Linked DNA regions of Notamacropus eugenii. The protein of the gene in region 1 purifies or fractionates together with the protein of each later gene. This does not show direct contact. Links are inferred from orthologs where the notes say so. Each region holds a gene or a part of one and is shown in the gene's direction. Other genes may lie near its edges.

Region 1 (3,745 bases):
CGCGCTCCTGTTTTTCTACCGACTTCTGGAACCCAGGCGTCTGAGGCTCCGGTCCGGCATGGGCACGGTGGGGAGCGGGGAGTGCTGGACTACGGATTCACTCCGGGGCCGAGGATAAGGACGCCACCCCGTGGGTGGGGGAAGCAGCAGGGAGGGCTCTCCGCACGCGTGTCTGAGGACTGACCGGGGCCGGAACCAGGGATCGCGGCTGCCGGGGCGGGTAGGAAGAAGGACTGAAAGTTTTCTTTCTGGAGCCGCTTTGGAAGTGCTCCGTGGCCGCGATTTTAGGGCTGGGTCCACCCGAAGACTGAGGTGCCGGCCGGCCGACGCCGCTTCTAGGCTCAGGGCGAATTAAATTTTTTACAAAAAATAACATTGTGTAATGCTTTTGTGACTGACTAAGCTTGCCGTCTCAGAAAGGTTGCCTCCCTCCTCTTCCTCCCCGCCTCTCCATTCGCCTCTTCTTTCCTCTGGTCGCCCCGCCTCTACGTCACCGGAATGGCGGCCGCCAGAGGGGCGGTTCGGCCTTCGGGCGTGCCCGGCTTGACGCCTCGCCCGGCGGGTCGTTAAGAGGGGCCCTTCCTAACCCTTCTCGGCCTTGACACCACCAGCGGGAAAGTCCGGAAGACTCGGCTTCCCGCGTGTAAAGCACACCGTCCCCGCCCCACAGGGCCGGATGGGAACACACAATGGTCGCCGCGAAGAATAGGGCGTCCGGGCCGCTCGCACCTGAGGGAGGGAAGGGAAGGGAAGGGGGAGGGGAGGCGGGCCAGGTGAACAATAGGAAGTGTGTGCGGGGTGTCCGGGTGTGCGCGGGCGCGTGTGGAGGAGCCTGACGGTTGGGGTGGGCACGTGGGAGGCCGGCTCGTGGGGCGTCGCGCGGAAGTCACCCAGGCTGGCGGGGGTGGGGGTGGGGAACGTGTGTGCTGGGGCAGGGGAGGTAGCTGAGGAGCCCGGCCTCTTGGGGGTCGGTTGGCAGCCGCGGGCTTCCCACCCGTCGGCCGCTCCCCCCACCTCGACGCTCTGAGGCCTCCTCGCTGGGCCCCATTTCTCCTGTTCTTCGGAGAAGAAGGAGGTGCCACCTTGTGAGAAGGGCCGGGGAGGCGCCTCGGAGATTTGAACCTCCGGGAGGAGGAGGAAGAGGAGGGGGGCGGCGGTGGGAGGAGACTCCGGAGCAGCCCTGGGTCGGGCCGGCGGTACACCAGTCAGGTCCTCACCCCGTAGCCGGGCGGTAGTAGCACCGATCACTTGAATCATCCAGGGAGAGGTGGGGGGAAAGGGACCAGTAGAGAACCGCCCCTCCCCCACCCGCCCCCCTTACTCCCCCTCCCCCAGTGGTCTCCCGCAGGAGATTGGTTGGAACTCCCCGAGCTGTCCCCCGCCGGGGCCTAGTTCTCACCTCCGGAGGAGGGACCCGGGCACCGGGCGGGGGGAGGAGAAGTAGGCGGAGAGACCGGGGCATTGGGGGAAGAAGGAGGAGGAGGAGGAGGAGGAGGAAGCGAGCCCGGGGCCGCGGCCGGAGGAGGAAGAGGAGGAGGAGGAGGGAACGGGGCCCCGGTGGGGGGGCGGAGCGGCCGCCGCGGGTTTGTTTTCTCGGCAGTAGACATGGCAGACGAGACCCCCAAGAAGGGGAACTTTTCGGCTCTCGTTGGACACACCAATGGCCTCACGAAACCCGCTTCCCTGGCGGCGGCCGCCGTCGCCACGAAACCCGGGGGGGGCGGGGGCAGTGGCGGCTCCTCAAAGAAATTAGTGATTAAAAATTTCAGAGGTAGGTAAGTGTGTGCAAACGAGGTGAGGGCGCGGAGGGAGGCGGGCGGGGAGGCCAGCTCGGGCCGGGCCGGGCCGCGTCTGGGCTGCTCCCCTTTCTCCCCACCCCCAGGGCCCCGGGGAGGGGGGGTTGTTTCCTCCAGACTGACCCGTCCCTTCTCCCCTCCCCCCGCGGTGCGCGCCGCCGTGGAGGCGGGGATCCGCCAGGGTGTCAGCGTGTTTTTTTCACGGGGGCACGAAAGGGAAGGGGGGAAGACTGTTTCCTGCCCCCCCAACCTCCAGGCGGCGGCGGCGGCGGCCCGCTAGCTCGACTCGGCGCTGCCGGAGGATTCCCTGAGCTGCATGACTTCAGCGGCAGCCAATGGGGAAGGGGCTCGGCGGAGGGCCGCCGCCTGCACGCGCTGCGCTGACCTTTGGTGACCTCGTTCAGTCGGCCGGGGCCCTCCCACTCCAGTGCGCTGGCGAGAGATAATCCTCCTCTTCCTTTCTTATTGTCAGAAATAGCCCCGGCCCCCGCCCCCTAAGTCGCTAGTCCGAGGGGTCCCGACTGACTCCCTCCAGCCCTCTGGTTAGGCTCTTACGTAGAGGGAGAAAGCAGACGTTAATAGTGGACCTTTGTGCGTTAAATCATTTCCCCATTTGTGGCGATACTTTGTATCCTTCTGTCGATTGTTAGCGGGAATATTCAGAAATGTCAGTAAATCTTCACAGGTGTTGAATGTGGGAGGGCTTAAGTTTCAGCAGTGATTGTGATGCTGGACAATTTATTTCCTAGTGTGGTGACAATACAAATTGTCATTTCTTAATGTTCATAAGAGGGTCTTAAGGCTCTGTAAAGTTTGTTTTAGATCTCAGCAATAACGCTCATCACTCCTTAAGAGATCATTTGACTTTTTAAAACTGGCTTGGCTAGTCTAAAAGTTTCTGTAATAAAATAGTACTGTGGTAGTGTACTTTAGTTAACAGTGTTTTTATCAAATATCAAATTATTCTTGTAGAGTTGATAAGTGAGCCTAAACACTCTAGATTTGAAACACGTCTAAAAAGGCTTGTTAATTGTGTGAGGCAAATATGTGGTGGATAGTTGACCTTGGAGTCAGTTCAAGTCCTGCGTCTGATACATATTAGCACTGTGACCATGGGCAAGTTACTCAGCTTCTCCGTACCCTAGAAACTCTTAAAAACTTTGAGGGTTGCACTCGGGAAGGGAATTTGCATGTTAGGAATTCCCTACCACAATGAAATTACAAGCCCAGACCATTTCCACTCTCCCAAAAAAGTATCATCCAATACTGTTAATAAGTATCACTATAGCAAAAAAGCAGTACTACTTTCTGTGATGGTACTAGGTACATAGCAATTCACCTTTCTACTACTTTACACAAACTGGCTATAGTGTTAGAAATAAGCCTCTTTAATATGTAATTTATACTAGTAATGGAGTCAGGATAATTTATCCATTACTGAACATTTAAAATCAGTACTTAAATTTTAAATGCTTATTCTTTGGAGCCCAGTATTGTTACAGATTTAAGAGAAACTGTTAACCTGCATTTTGCTTGTACTTAACCCAAGAATCATGTTACTTTGCTAGATATATTTATGAAGTTGATTTCTGTGTTAACCTAACATGCCCATTGTTTTGAATGCATAGTTTGGTAGGCTTTTTAAAATGATTGGCTACGAGCAAGCTATTTTCTGTTTTATTTTGTATCCCGCTTTACAGACAGACCGAAGTTGCCAGATAATTATACTCAGGATACATGGCAGAAACTTCATGAAGCAGTTAGAGCCATACAAAGTAGCACCTCCATTAAATACAATCTTGAAGAACTCTATCAGGTAAGTGCTCAAATGTCAGTGGGGCAGAGTTTTGGAAAAATGTTGGTACTTATTTAATTGAGAATGTCAGATTTTCTTTTACTTGCAGAATGTTTAAGCTTGACCAGGAGAGTATTCTGTTTTTAATGCCAAC
Region 2 (3,745 bases), on another chromosome or scaffold:
GTTGGGGATACCGAGAAAGGCGTAAGACAGTCCCTGCTCTGCAGGAGCTCACAGTATAACGCTACAATGTAACACTAATAACATACACTCTTTAACATTTACACAGAGGTCCTGCTAGGGGTCAGGCACAAGGCTAACCCTTCGTAATGGCATCTCATCGGATCCTTACAACAACTTGGAAGGTGGGTGCTGTTATCATCCGTTTTACATTTGGGGAAACCGAGGCAGGGGTCACGTGACTGGCCCACGGTCCCCTAGCTAGGAAGGATCTGAGGCTGGATTGGAACTCGGGCCTTTCTGACTCCTCTGAACCACCCAGGGGCTTCGTGCCCGGAGGGACGTCTGGGGGAGAACAAAGGGGCTTCTAGTAGGCCCCGCAGGAGCGGGGGAGAGTTAATTGTCCTGACGCGGCCACCAGGGCCTGGAGGCTCGGCCTCAGGAGCCCCTGAGAAACGCTCTTATAGAAGGTGGGATTTCAGCTGGGGCCCGCAGGAAGCCAGGAGGCAGCCCGATAGCCGGGGCAAATGCCCGGAGTCGGGAGCTGAACGACGGCGAAGCCCGTGCCGCGGGGACTCGGGGTGGGGAGGCCCAGAGGAGACGGCCGGCGGCGGGTCTCTGCCTCGGGGTGCCAAGTACGCAAAGGGGCCGAGGCCATCCCCAGGACCGCTCCACGCGCGTGGCCGAAGCTTCCGGCAGCCGTGTAGACCTTCGGGGGCCCTAGGTCCCCAGGCTGGTCGGAGCCGGAAGCGCGAGGGCAGAGGCTGGGGGCTCGTTTCCGGGGGCCCACACAGTTCCCCCTCAGGTGTTGTAATTTTTTCCGGGCTGGAGAAAGGAATTCGTGGTCTGGAAGGAAGGGCGGGGCCCTAGGGATGGGGGCGGAGCCAGCACCGCAGTGGGCGGGGCCCGAGGACCTCCTCATTCTTCTTTCCTTTTCACCTGAGCCCAGCAGGGGGCGACCGGACGCCACCGCGGAGCTCACGCGGCGTCGTGGCGTCACCCTAGCGCGCCGTGCGCCGGCATCCTCAGCTCGTACGTCATTACCCGGTGCCGCTGTCGCTAAGGAAGAGGCTGAGAGAGGAAGGCCTCGGCGAGGGAAGTCCAGGCTGAGCAGGAGAGCCCAGAGCGGGTGAGGCAGGGACCAGGGGAAAGCCCAAGCGGGCCGCGGCGAAGGAGGCGGGCCGGCCTGGCCTAGGTCAGGTTGTCTGCCCGCCCAAGCCCCCCTCTCCCTCGGCCGCTGAGAAGGTGGGAGCACACTGCCTCGGGCTTCCCCTCAGGAAGGGGGTGCGGGGGGCCGCGTGCCCGCCACCGGCTGGGGGATCCCGTCCCCGACCCTCCGTAAAAGGGGCCCCCCTGGGTGTGGTAAGCGGCGGCCGGGCGGGCCCTGGGGTGACAACGCTGCGCCGGGGCCTCTCGGCTTCTCCCCAGCCCGTGAGGCCGCACGGCCCCCAGCCGTGCCGGGGAGACGGCCTTCGTGTCCGGGGTAAACAAAGGCCGGGGTGGGGTGCCCCTGGGGTAGGGGTTCCTCCGAGGCCGGCCCTCCCTTTACCAGTAACACCCACTTCTTCCCCAGAGCAGTCTGCCCATGGTCGCTCGCCCTAAGCGGAAGAGATGAGTGTCCAGGTGAGCATCGAAGAGGCTGCGCCCTGGGGCTGAGGGCTCCCCCAGAGAAGCAGGGTGTGGTGTGGCAGGATGGGGCTCATTGGGTCAGATACTCTGTGCTGCCTGGTGACCCTCAGTCCCCTCCTTTGTGAAATGGGCTGGAGAAGGAAATGGCCCCCCTGCTGGGGGCCCAGAGAGTCAGACGGGCTGGAGAGAACCGAACAAGGCGTTTGTCCTTTGCAAGTTCACGTAGGTGACAGAAAAGTGTCTAAGAAGGCAGCTCCTGGTCTGCCCAGGTTATGTGGCCGAGGTGCGGAGATGAGGTATAAACACACCAGAAGACTGGCCGGCAAACTCTGCCCGGTCTGCTAAATGAGGATGCTGGTCCAGGGGCCTCAGGGGCCCCTCCGCCCCGCACAGGCTGTACGAGGGGCAGTCAGGGAAGATGCCTGGGGGATGTTGTGGGAGCGAGGGGCCCTTGGATAGAGAAGGTCTGTTGTGGAGCTCTGATCAGTTGTGTGACGTGATGACTCTTCTCTTTTCAGTATAGCATTCTCTTCAAACAAGAACAAGGTATGGAAACAGTCTTCTGGCCTTTGGTTTCTCATCAGAAAGCAACAGCTTTCAAGATTCCTTGTTCTGCAGAGCTGCAGTTCCTGAGCCCATCCTTACTTGGTCTTGTGGGTTTTTAGGGAGTACAATGGGTCACTTGCTATGACTGAAAAATTCTGTGTCCTTCAGCCAACCTAGTGTGGAACCTCTCTCTCTAAACCTAACAGAGGCTGGTCTTCAGGCATCAGATATAAATTCCTTTTGGGTACATGCTTACCCATGGTCACACAACAAGTTTGGGTTAGAGATGGGCCTAGAACCCAGGTCTTTTGATGTTAAAATACCTTTTATCAAATACCTCTCTCAGTTGACTTGCAGTTCTGAAGATGAACAAAAATACACTGCTCCACACAGCAAGAGCCTCCAGCCCACAGATTGAAATAGTTTACCCTTTGCACAAGGGATGTGATTGTACTGGAGGCAGCATGATGTAGTGGTTAGCAAGTGGACCTCTTAGGCAGACCTGAGTTCATTCCTGCTGGTGTCACATCCTTACTCTGTGACTCTGGATGAGTCATGTAGACTCTTTCTGCTGCCAGCAACTTTACCTCTATTTAAGTTGCAGAGAAAGTGTGGATTTGCAATGGTAGAAGAAATTCCTCACTAGATATTTTCTATAATAATGAAATCACAGGTCTGGTCTGAAAAAAGATAGCCCATGGTGGATAATATTTTAATCCAACAAGGATTGGTAAGTGTATGACATCTCTGTGCCACTGGGCTGGATTTCATGATTTCTAGGAAACTTCCCAGCTAGCACTTCTTTTTCCCCCCCTCAATGTTCTGTTGTCCAGTTTAAGCCTATTTTAATATCTTTGTTTTTGGAGTTATGGAACTATATGTATAAATTTTATACACATGATTGAAACATAACTTCGGTATGTCAAAGATCTATGATTTCATTGTTGTGGATATTCATTCTGCTCACAGATTCCCCCTATAGTATATGTCTTTTTGAGTTCTTTTGCTTGAAACATTTTATCACCTAGTGACCAACCCTCTTGTGATGAATAACTCTTTTTCCCTGTCCTAGCTCATGATGATGCCATCTGGTCAGTTGCCTGGGGGACAAATCAAAGAGAGAACTCTGAAATGATTGTCTCAGGATCCTTGGATGATCTAGTCAAAGTGTGGAAATGGTAAGTCAATTTTTCTGGGAGTGTTAGGCTTAAATAAAGTTTTTGAATTTTCATCAGGTTACATGATCTTTTGGTTTTTTTTTTTTTTTTGGTTTCAACAGTGGTGAGTTTAAATTGCAAAAAGATATACATTTTTGGATGTGACTAATGTGGGAATTTGTTTTACCAAACTATGTGAATCTGTACTGAGGGATTTATGTTTTTGTTTTGTTGTTTTTTAATTTGCTCTCTGGGTATGTTTGTGGAGGGGGGTGGGATAGATTAATTGAAGAAATATTTATTAGGGAAAATTACAACTACTGAAAAAAACAAACCAGTGGTTGTAATCAGGAAAATACTGAGTTGTAGGAAAGGAGGGACAGCTAATGTTCTTTCAGCCTTACACCCTCCTATGT
Region 3 (3,745 bases), on another chromosome or scaffold:
GATTTGGAAGCCTTTCTCTATTCAGATTGCAATCCATTCATGCTTGACCATTTTGTATGACTTGCTCATGTCTTGCAAAAAATTCACCACAGAAGACCCCCCTATGATGCTGGAGGTCTTTCTTTTTAACATTGGGAAGGTAATAGTGGACTACTCCAGATATGTAGCCATAATCCCACATGACATATAACCAGCCCATCTGATTTTCCTGGCATTTTTATTCTTGGTCTTCTTCCAAGTTCATCATTGGTCATATATTATAGCTTGCTCACAGCCACTGTACTTTTCTCTATTTTCCTCTATGTGATTGTCATTTTTAACTCCAGAGAAGAATAATGTTACAAGAAATATGTTACTACTATGTTTCAAATCTAATAGATACTTAGCAATATCCAGAGGATATTTATAATGCAACCTATGAGGTTTGTCCACAAATATGTATACCTGAGACAGACAATACTGACTGACAAGTTGGGCAGAGTTGAACAGGAGGACCACGAGCTGATTTCCTTCAGGAAATTACAAAGTTACTTTAATGACCCAGGTTCCCATGAAAGCCAAGGGCCATGCTTTACTTTTAAAATTAAACATATATTTTAAAATTCATTTTTATTTTATTATACACAATTTATTTTGCTTCATTATTTTATTATATTTTCAGTTCTGAATTCTCTCTCCCCTCCCCCGACAATCACCCATCTCTTAAATATCAGCAGGCTCTGGGCATTGCTACATTGTAACAAGACATGGAATTGAACGGTGTCTGAAGAATCAAAACAATGAATGTCATACAGAGGGTAATTAATGACGGGTGATGAGGGGGTTAGGGTTGGAATCCTGGCTCCACTAGCAGTGTGACCCCCCTCCTCTGGGCCTCAGTTTTCTCATCTGTAAAATGAAAAGGCGTGCTTCAGCTCCGCTCCATCATCCTGTGCCCCCAGGAGCAGCAAACAGGCAACGGGAACGGCTGCTAAGGAGGGAGTCAATTTCAGCAGGCGTGGTCGCTTAGAGCTCAGGCGGGCTCACCTCACCTCCGGACGCCAGGGGGCGCGCTCGCTCTTGCCGGGCAGGCGATGGTGCGCTCTCTGCGCACGCTTCCAACTCTATGGCCCTCACTTCCGTGGGCCGGCTGAGGGAGGGGGGTGGGGGGGAACGGGGCCATCCCGGCCGTTGTCGCCGGGTGCCGGCGTCAGTGGCAACATGGCGGTGGCGGCGGCGGCCGTGGCGGCCGTCGGAGTGCGGCCAGCGCAGCCCGGGGATCCCCTCGCCCCGGCCTCATGAGCCCGGCGCGACGGGGGGCGCGGGACGGACGGGTGAGGACGCTCCCCTTCTCCCGCTTCGTCGGCTCTCTGGTCCTCGGGCCTTCCTCTCGGCCAGCGGCCCCCTCCTGCCGGCCGGGCCGCCCGGACCCTGGGCCGCGCTCCTCCCCGGCCTCCCTCCCCCGGACCCCCGCGCCCCGAGGTTTAACCGAGCCCCAGCCCAGCTGCCCCTGAAAGTCGTGCTCCCCGCGGGCTGGCCTCCCCCTTCTGGCGGAGCCTCAGGGCTTAGAGCGGGAAGGGCCCTCGGAGGTCAGCCGGGCGTAAGGGCCGGGGCCCGGGGCCCAGCCCCGGCCTTGCCTGGCTTTGTGCCCCGCACCACGGTGTTCCCGGACTCCACCCACTCCCCGCTTTCCGTAACCTTTGCCGCCGGCTCTCTCCTCTTCTTGGGGAAATGGGGAGAGACTGCCCTTAAACCAACTCCTCTATGGTTAAGTCTGGAAAAGATAGATAAGAGAGGCAGGGAGATGTCATGGAAAGAGAAGCCGATTGGGAGGCAGAAGAGCTAGGTTCATACCCGTGCAAAGTGCCTCATTCCCCTCAGGACCTTAGTTTTTTTTTTAGTCTATGAAAAGGAAAGGGTTTGATTAGATCAGGGTTTGCCAGTCTGGGGTGGAAGTACCCCGCCCCCCCGGGGTGTGAGCCTCTCGTTGAGGGGTTTGAGGGAATAAGTGGTAAATATCTTGGCTTTTTTATTGAAATAGTCCAAAAGTAGTGGTATTAGTGATTATTTTATGATACTAAAAGTGTTACACGCTGAATAAAGTGTTCTGTATGAAAAACGAGTCTCTTTATTTCTTACATGCTCTTGCATGGTAAACTCTAGAATATCTCCTTTCATATTGAAACTGAAAGGTTTCCTTAAAGCCAAAGAATATCACGAATGAAAAAGGTTGAGAAGCTTCTTATTCTAGATGATCTGAGGTTTTGTTTTTGTCTTAAACTATCTCTGAATCCTATGATCCAGTGAATTGAGTTCCAGAGTCTTAGTAATTTAGAAAACCAGCATGGGGGGGAGAGTTTTAATCAGAAGCCAGGGGCCTCTTCCCACCACTCCAACATCCTTTTTGAGGGGTTGAATGCTGTTGGGGGGAGGCGGCAGTAGGACATTGCGGAAAAAAATGGAAGAAGCACAGTATGAAAACAAGAGGTTTATGAAACTGTTTCTGAACTTTCATCTTGGCTTAATTTTGAGTGATTCTCTTAGAGTAGAAGAGCAGCATAAAAGGGGGTAGAGTGGGGGAGAAACCAAACTCTTGTCATGGTCTTTAAATCAAATAGTGTTTTGCATGTAATAATTCCTAGTATAGTTCTTCATAAATAGTAAGTGCTTAATCACCAGCATTTATCAAGCATTTATTGTAGTCCAAGTACTATGCATAGTAAATGTCTTCAAATGAAGTTAAATTTGAATTAATGCTTCTTAAATCATTCTTTAAAAGTCTATGCTCTACATTGGGGCTACTGATAATGTTAAGGTGAGAGCAGTACTTTAAAATGACTTCATATGTTTTAGGGAAGGGAATTCTTAACTGGGAATTCTTACTCTGAATTCACATATTCTGGTGATTCAGATGTTTTTGATGGAAACACATTATAGCTAAGCGTTCTTGAGATATTTCTAGTGTGTTAAGCTCTTCCCATTATTCTCATGCTGAGGACAGACTTGAAGTTTACTCTTGTTTCCTTGTGACCTAAAGGTGGAAGATTTTAGGTAAACCCTGAGATGATGTGTGTTTGGAAAGGGAACTTGGGTTTTTGGTTTGTTTGTTTGTTTTTTTTTCATTTTATGTGTGACACTCTGCTCTTAATCATCCAGAAATAAGATGCTGTGATGATGGATCATGATGTTCCAACAATCAAACCTCGAAGAATCCAGAACCAAAATGTTATCCACCGCTTGGAGCGTCGGCGCATCAGTTCAGGCAAGGCTGGTACCCACTGGCACCAGGTTCGAGTGTTCCACCAGAACGTCTTCCCCAACTTTACTGTGGTTAATGTGGAGAAGCCACCTTGCTTCCTGCGAAAATTTTCACCTGATGGGCGCTACTTTATTGCCTTTTCTTCAGACCAGACATCACTGGAGATTTACGAGTACCAGGGCTGCCAAGCAGCAGAGGACCTACTGCAGGGTTATGAGGGTGAAATTTTGGCTAATGGCAATGACCAGAGGTCAGTCAACATCCGAGGCCGACTCTTTGAACGCTTCTTCGTCTTGTTGCATATCACCAATGTTGCGGCTAATGGTGAACACCTAAATCGTGAGTGTAGCCTCTTCACAGATGACTGCCGTTGTGTCATTGTGGGTTCAGCTGCCTACCTCCCTGAAGAGCCTCATCCTCCTTTTTATGAAGTTTATCGCAACAGTGAGTCAGTGACACCAAATCCCCGCTCCCCTTTGGAGGACTATTCCCTTCATATCATTGATC

Evidence for each region.
Region 2: the proteins of CUL4A (region 1) and SKIC8 purify together in Homo sapiens (affinity purification with western blotting; 3 studies listed by BioGRID, with this or other methods). This does not show direct contact. The link is inferred for Notamacropus eugenii from reciprocal best matches to the Homo sapiens genes CUL4A and SKIC8.
Region 3: the proteins of CUL4A (region 1) and DET1 purify together in Homo sapiens (affinity purification with western blotting; 6 studies listed by BioGRID and IntAct, counting the BioPlex papers as one, with this or other methods). This does not show direct contact. The link is inferred for Notamacropus eugenii from reciprocal best matches to the Homo sapiens genes CUL4A and DET1.

The regions. Positions count from the first base shown.
Region 1 is NC_092877.1:207,996,950-208,000,694, reverse strand, and holds the start of CUL4A (cullin-4A), read left to right. Parts: upstream 1-1,468; 5' UTR 1,469-1,605; coding exon 1,606-1,771; intron 1,772-2,181; exon of another isoform or gene 2,182-2,319; intron 2,320-3,496; coding exon 3,497-3,612; intron 3,613-3,745. UniProt on the Homo sapiens protein: Core component of multiple cullin-RING-based E3 ubiquitin-protein ligase complexes which mediate the ubiquitination of target proteins. As a scaffold protein may contribute to catalysis through positioning of the substrate and the ubiquitin-conjugating enzyme.
Region 2 is NC_092872.1:255,271,923-255,275,667, reverse strand, and holds the start of SKIC8 (superkiller complex protein 8), read left to right. Parts: upstream 1-958; 5' UTR 959-1,126; exon of another isoform or gene 1,127-1,242; intron 1,243-1,570; 5' UTR 1,571-1,608; coding exon 1,609-1,620; intron 1,621-2,144; coding exon 2,145-2,172; intron 2,173-3,244; coding exon 3,245-3,350; intron 3,351-3,745. UniProt on the Homo sapiens protein: Component of the PAF1 complex (PAF1C) which has multiple functions during transcription by RNA polymerase II and is implicated in regulation of development and maintenance of embryonic stem cell pluripotency.
Region 3 is NC_092872.1:168,076,924-168,080,668, reverse strand, and holds the start of DET1 (DET1 homolog), read left to right. Parts: upstream 1-1,121; 5' UTR 1,122-1,313; intron 1,314-3,135; 5' UTR 3,136-3,150; coding exon 3,151-3,745. UniProt on the Homo sapiens protein: Component of the E3 ubiquitin ligase DCX DET1-COP1 complex, which is required for ubiquitination and subsequent degradation of target proteins. The complex is involved in JUN ubiquitination and degradation.